Linked DNA regions of Kluyveromyces lactis. Each later gene encodes a partner of the first gene's protein in a complex. Links are inferred from orthologs where the notes say so. Each region holds a gene or a part of one and is shown on either strand. Other genes may lie near its edges.

Region 1 (3,886 bases):
GATATGATAGACCCAGCGATGCTAAGACCAGGGAGACTCGATAAAACCCTTTTCATAGAATTACCAAATTTCGAAGAAAAGGTCGATATTATGAGAACTTTGATTAGATCAAACGGAACTCCAATTGCAGACGACGTAGATATAAACAGGATTGTTAATGATGAACGTTGCAAGAACTTTTCGGGTGCAGATATCGCCGCACTGGTCCGAGAATCATCCGTCCTGGCTCTCAAACGAAACTTTTTCAAAACTGATGAAATCATGTCAGTAGGGGAGAACAACCTAGACAAAGAATTCGAAGATCTCACAACAAACTCTCCAACTGAAGATGTAATTGTCTATATGAAAGATTTCGAAAACGCTTTAAAGAAAGTAAAACCCTCCGTCAGTGATAAGGATAGAACTAGATATGACAGACTAAACAAAAGGATGGGATGGAACGATTCTTCAGATGGGTCTGAATGAGCTTTAAATTCTACAAATATGTAATAAATATGATGTCATTTCATGTGATGTCCTCTTCTCATCACATTTTTTCTTACTTTCCATACGTGTTCATGTCTCTTCTTTTGGTAAAGAGAAACGTATGGAATATCAACTTCACTTTTGAATATGCCATTATTTGGGTATAACTCGCAGATGGGTGTTTCCGTCTTTCCACGTACTAAGACCCATTTGTTTTCCGTTTCTCTTAAGGCCCGAAAGAGGTTCTCAGGAATATACATGTAGATGAGGGACTGTTCAAGATCAATAGAATGAATCAAAGCAAGTCCCACAAATTCAGTGTTAATTTTTGAGTAATTCTTCATCACTGGGAATATGCCCTTGAATAGCACGTCTGGGGTACTATCTGCCCTATGAAGAGCAACGACCGTCCCATCTAAAGATAGTTTGATATCATCGTGATACAAAGAGCTATTGGAATATTGGAGAAACTCAAAACCAACTATACCGCGGTTGCCAATAGAAGTTAGTTGAGGTTTCTGCATGACCAATGGATTGATTACAAAATTTCGGTCATATTTTTTATGTAAATATGCTGTAATCTTGAACTGCCTGATTTTAGCTGCGTTAAATCTTTGTAAAGCATGGGATATGTGTTTACCCACAGCAGGAGAATGCAATTGTAGTATTATAGGTTTGTAAGTTGACCGCTGAGTTGTACTGAAAGCGTCAGGGACTTTAATTTCGGACGAAAAGGGCAGCCCATTATAAGATAGAAATATGATGTGAGTTGGCTTGAAATGGTCAAGTGCATGGTTGATAATTTTAACACCAAATCCTTTAATCCACCCAGGAATATTTAAAAATGATGTCCCCATGAAATTCTCTGTCTGCCACTCTTTCAAAAGTGATTCTACAGCGTTAGAGTATGTTTCTGGCCAATCCTGAGGTGATGAGGATCCTATGAAATGCTGTTTTATGGTTGTGAATCTTCCTTGGCAAAGATGTTGGCCTAAGGACATAGATTTCGGGTCTACTTTATTCCATGATATGCTTTCAGGTGGCGAGTACTCTGGCTGACCAGGATCAATATCAAGGTAGTGTATGGCTTCATATGATAGATCGTTGTTACTATGCAAAAATTTTTGGACAAGAAGCCGCATCAAAGTGGATTTTCCTGAGTTCTTACCTCCTATTACCATGACCCTCATATCTTGTGACGAGTTAGCGTGGAATATACGCATTTCATCGATGACTGTTGACCATTCGGTTGATATATCCAATATTCTTACAGAATCGGAAATTTTACTGATAATGTTGAACGTTAGTTGCTTTCTGGCAATTCCCGGTAGCAATGAAATATTCAAAGGACCCCACATATCTCTAAGCTCAGGTAATAAACTAGATAATTCTGTTATATTGCAGCCATTGCTGATTTTTAGGACGCAGTCGTAGCTTTCGATCTGTGTTGTGAAATGTTGATATTCTCGGTTAAGAAACAATTTAGATTCCCAACCGGCATAAAAAGAAGACACTATTGGCGAAATTGCATTACAAGCGGGATGCCAGAATTCCCAGTTTTTATAACCACTGTTATAATGAACGTTGTTATATGTAATCCCGCCTTTTATAATTTGTAGATTGAACTGACCGCATATTAGAAGGTGTTGATTCTTTTCTAAGCATATTATAACTTCAGTACACTCATCGGATAGAGTGAAGAAGTTCATGTCAACAACGGGCGAATACAGCTGGTTTGATTCATCTTCTTCGTTAGGAAAGTCATTCCCATTCGTTTCCCTGATATCATCATTGTCATAGTCATCTCCATCGTAGAGTTGCACTACTGGCGTTTCGCTAGAAGTCTTGTATTTCTTTTCGATTTCTCTTTGTTCCACATCTGAATCGTCTGAATCGGTGTTCGCGGTGTATGTTAGAATATCTTCAGACATCTCAAATATGGTTCTGTTGGAAACCGAGCAAGTGGCATTCGAATGCTGAGTTTATTGCACCTTACCTCTTCTCATCTCATCTCATACTGAGACTTTTTTCTGTTTTGTTCTGAAATTTTTGTTGACATTTTACTGAGCTCATAATCAGTGCATCTAATAGCAAGGGAAACCAAAAGCTGTCGTCATCTTGAGAGAAAACTCAAAATCAAACCTACCGGGAACTATGCATGAATTATAGTTGTACATACTCCTTAGAAAATAATAAAAAACATTACATATAAACTGTCAGCTTTAACCTTATAATTGTATCCACAAAAAAAAATTATAAACAAAAAAAAGAGATTGCCGCCCCAAAACCATGTCATCAAGTATATGTGTCATAACATTGCAGAAAAAATTCGGAGTAATATTCTACTATAACGAGGCTATATCACAACCTGAGGATATTTTGATAGAGATATCTTGTTCGACGGAATTCTTCCTTCAATGACACATTCTTTGGAGTCACTAAATTCATCAAATGACGTAAAGCCTTGCTCTTCCTCTTCCTCTTTGAATTCATCTAACTCCTCCATAAGTTCGCATAACAAATAATCTTTAACTAACTTGACAGTTGAATAGGTTTCGTAGAATAATTCCAAGTCTTGCTCTTCTGAGGATAGATTTAACGAAGTGAATGACTCCTCCAAAGATACGTTGTCCTTTTCGGGGATATCTTCGTTAGCCTCAGCATCCAACAGCGCAGTTCTTTGGTGTAGGCTGTAATTATTCGAGTAGTGTTGAGGATAGAATGCTGATGATGATGAAGAAGGAGATGTTTGATGTGTATCAAACCTGTTGAATACGGACAATACCGGAGGTGGAGCTCCAACATTTGGCCTGGCTGAAATACTGGGCAACTTAGGGATTAGTGGGTATGATTGTGGTGCAGGTACCGGGTTAGGACCCAAGTTAGCGGTCGGTAGGTTATTGTTAGCATAGTTTCTAGACATATCCATGGATAAATTATTGAAGAATCCAACAGCGGATCTCAATTCAGCACCGTGACCCACGAGAGGACGTTGCTGGGTTTGGTAAGGAAGAACCATATGGTGCGATACCAAGTTCGGGGAAACTGCAGTGGACGAAGCAGAAGACGCAGAAGGAGGGGAAGTTGCGTTGTTGTTATTAACAGGTAACAGCAGGACGATGGCCATCTTTTCTGCCAATTGTTGAGAGTACACGGGTTGTTGAGTCTTCACCTCCTCGTGAATAAATTTATCCAAAGAAATAGATGGTAAAGTGAATCTCTGATGAGCACGGGATCTGTCATTTGAAATCTTTCCCAGCTTATTGGATGGCTTCGGACCACGTTTTTTTTTCAGTAGTGAAAGTTCTTCGTTATGTACCTTCAAATGTTTCTTTAAATCTTGAGGTCTTTTGAATTTTTTATTACAAGTGGAGCAAGCGAAAGGTTTTAATTGCACATGAACTCTCAAATGAGACGTGAT
Region 2 (3,325 bases), on another chromosome or scaffold:
TCTTTCCCAGTCCGATATCGACCATGACGATATGGGAGTCTACCATGTTGTTGTCTTACGGGGCAACGACTTTTTAAGCCAGTACATGCTTTGACATGTACAATTTAGATCATCTGAGTTTTCTCTTTTTAGTTTTCTTAAGGTCAAAGTAACAGTGAAACAAGATCCATCGTCGTATCTTCTGTTGCATTTATTTCTTCAAAACGTTTCACTTCTTCTTTTTAGCTAAGAACATGATTGTGCGTTATGGATTTTAACATTTTTTTATATGATGAAAATTGGTTCCTTTACATTCGCAGTTTCCACGGTAGGAGTACGCCTACGAACCCATCGTTAGTACTCTTCAGTGACCGCTCTTTATTGAGACCTTCCTAGGATGTCTGATCTTTTTATATGTTATTATCCATTTCCATTTTCAATCCTGTTATCATCGCAGAACCTGTAGAACTGTCAATCTTTCTTGCTTTGTCTTATGTATCTAAAAGGCTTAATTATACTAATTACAAAACGCCAAATGGTCTAGGCGTCCACTCGGTGACTTCTTGCCAGTTGGAGATGGGGGCATTGCTTTGTTTGATCTTTTTGAACTGATTTTTCAATTCATTCAAGTCTTTCAATATATCCAAGGCCGGGGAATCTTCCGAAACAGGCTCTATTTCTTCAGAAGACGTCCTTTTCCTTGAATTGTAGAGCTCTAATTCAACGTTCCTGATCCCCTTTGCCTCAAATTCTTCAATAACTTTTTTCGCGTCTATCTCATTCGCTTTCTTCTTCTTTCTTGACTTACTACCGCTGTAATTACCACTAGATCCACTTTCATTACTCAAATTCTTTAAGATGTGTAACACGAGATAGTTGTGGTACTTATCTACCACATTACTAAACAATCCATTACTCAAAAACTTTCTGCCGTTAACCATGGAACAACACTTATTTACGAATTTCAAGAGCTTCTTATGATTTGAGAACCGATCCGTAATCTTCGTCTCTTCATTCATGATCCTCTTCTCGTAGTTTTCTATTAGCCACTCTATACACCTGACTTGGAATGTGTCTAAGGAATGAAAACATATCTCTAACAAGGTTTCGTCGCAGTGCAAGATCATATACTCTACGAAATCTGATTTGTGTATTTGTTTCCAGGCAGTTTTCAAAACTGTCAACCAATCACTAACTTCTTCGTCCTCGGTTGAGTCCTGCTCACCAAAAGTTGATCTAGCAATTCTTTGACGTTTCCATAGGTACTCATTCTCTTTCAATAATCTCTTGAGACCAGTATACTGAGTGAATAAGGATTTCAGTTGAACAGATGACTGTGATTTCCTTTTCTTGGCTTCTGAGTCGTCATTATCATCAGTCGCATCCTCATCTTCAGCCTCATCAAAGTCCTGATCTTCCTCTTCCCATTCATCATTATTCCAATAATTATCCCACGTCCATTGTATCGCTTCCTTGCAACACAATCGTAGCATCTCAAGACTAGGCAGTTCTCTTTCATGTGTACTCAAATGACGTAACTCAACGAACCAACTGGGCAACCCTATATTTTCAGCAAGTGTGTGTAATGGGATAGCAAACTGTGCCTGTTGCACTGGGTCTAACATACCGTTCACAAACCTAATCAAGACCATGCAGTACTGCCATTTCAAATATTCCATATCATCGCCGTCTTGCGCCTCGCCAGGGTCGTTCAACTGGCATTGCATCAAACGGACCGTATATTCTATTATATGTGGGAGATATGGACCCCTGGTAAGGTATGCGTCAATTCGTTGTATGGCCCTTCTCTTCGATGCTGGAGTATCATCTACAAACAACCATTGCTTCAACTGTTCAAGCTCAGATCTCGATCTCCAAGGCGTTATTCTCATCGGGAGTTCCTCGTAGGGTTGTGTACCAAATGAAAGAAACAGAAATCACGAAAAACTGCTAGAAACAACAATTGTAGATATATATACCAGATTAGATGTGATATTAAGTCATATCATCTCACCTCATCTCATCGCTCTGTTTCCGAGTATGCATGGATCTTGTTTTTTCATCGAAATTGAAAAATTTCGAATATGACGAAATGATATCCAAAGCCCACTTTCAATACAGAGGAAGCAAATGAAATATTATCAATGTCATCGTATATTAGATGGATATTGGTAGTATGTAAGCGTCGGGAGATTCGAATAACGTAGTACACTTAACGTACTTTAACATGCAAGAATAATTTTCAGTAAATATCATTATGTAGTACTTCTTAAATGACAATCCGTTTTAGGTGTCAAATTCTTAATTAAGTATAATCTCGAAATAAAACTGCCGGAATCACAAATGGTCTTCTTTCATGAAGAAACAATTTCGTGTATGGCCTCCGAAAGGACAAGTAAACTTCGAATTGGATATCAATTGTAGCGAAGACTGCTAAACTGCTTTTCACACGCCGATTAAATCGAATACACGCCGGTCTGGTAATACTTTTTGTTTCAGGAACGGTCTGAACGTTTGTAATACAGAATCAACCGACACGCCTTCAGACGCTAAACACTACAAGTGCAGTAAAACGAAAGTCAGGGAGTGAATTGCACACAAATCGTCTTATGGTTTACGAAATGCTATCTCCGGTACCAGTTAAGAAGAGACATAGACCTACACTTGTATGTTTGAATTGCAGGCGTCGTAAGACGAAATGTGATAGAGGAAAGCCCTCGTGCAGTAACTGTTTAAAGCTGGGAGAAACGTGTGTTTACTCCGAGGATACGGATGAGAATGCTTCTAAAAAAGTAAGATACGAATATATGGATGATCTTGGATTACCGGAGTTCATCAATATGGCTCCTAAAGGGCTACATCTGTTAAGCAAAAGATCAGCTTCGTGGTTCAATGGGTTGTTCTCAGACATCGCTATATGTGACAGAGATCCATATTTAAGAATAACAAACGCTGTCATTGATATTTTACGGAAAAGTGCCAGTAAAGGTATCGATCGTAGTGAAAGAGACACCGTCTTGCAGCTTCCTAATTCGTTAAAGACCGTAACCATGTACAACCGGTCAGAAAAGTCTGAAGATCAACTATACCATCAGATAGCTAGGGAGTTCTCAGCATTGCGGTCTGCCCCAATACCGGAGACATATGTACCGTATGAATACGAATTTTGGTCCAAATATTATCCATACTTCGTTGACAAGATTCATCCGTTGGTGCCTGTATTCAATCTTATTGAGTTGAAGGATCTACTAGAAAAGTTTTTTCAACGCCAAAAAGACCATCCGGGCAAATTGAACGACAAGGTACACGAGTCTACTCTTTTAATGCTAACGTACCTCATCATCAA

Evidence for each region. The genes of interacting proteins can lie anywhere in the genome.
Region 2: the proteins of GRC3 (region 1) and LAS1 are in contact, whole or in part, in a crystal structure (PDB 7Y18), measured with the Saccharomyces cerevisiae proteins. The link is inferred for Kluyveromyces lactis from reciprocal best matches to the Saccharomyces cerevisiae genes GRC3 and LAS1. Residues at the interface, in NP_013065.1 of Saccharomyces cerevisiae: Glu72, Gly73, Asp74, Glu75, Asp76, Glu77, Thr173, Glu177, His180, Leu181, Arg183, Asn186, Glu200, Arg201, Tyr456, Asp457, Phe458, Ala459, Pro460, Leu461, Leu462, Lys463, Ser464, Ala465, Pro466, Leu467, Gln468, Ile469, Ser470, Gly477; in NP_012989.3 of Saccharomyces cerevisiae: Ile2, Pro3, Pro4, Arg5, Ile6, Val7, Pro8, Trp9, Arg10, Asp11, Arg36, Gln39, Arg40, Gln42, Ser43, Tyr44, Arg45, Leu46, Lys47, Gln50, Tyr51, Leu52, Pro53, His54, Val55, Arg94, Asn97, Gly98, Leu99, Asp101.

Annotation. Positions count from the first base shown.
Region 1 is NC_006041.1:81,005-84,890, reverse strand, and holds GRC3 (polynucleotide 5'-hydroxyl-kinase), read right to left. Parts: upstream 2,397-3,886; coding exon 501-2,396; downstream 1-500. Other genes in the region: putative AAA family ATPase RIX7, read left to right, coding at 1-465; alkaline-responsive transcriptional regulator RIM101, read right to left, coding at 2,822-3,886. UniProt on the Saccharomyces cerevisiae protein: Polynucleotide 5'-kinase involved in rRNA processing. Required for the efficient termination by RNA polymerase I and the processing of the IST2 pre-rRNA internal transcribed spacer localized between the 5.8S and 25S rRNAs.
Region 2 is NC_006037.1:554,780-558,104, forward strand, and holds LAS1 (rRNA-processing protein LAS1), read right to left. Parts: upstream 1,872-3,325; coding exon 501-1,871; downstream 1-500. Other genes in the region: OAF3 (Oaf3p), read left to right, coding at 2,589-3,325. UniProt on the Saccharomyces cerevisiae protein: Regulates cell surface growth, bud formation and morphogenesis. May act indirectly by regulating factor(s) involved in these processes.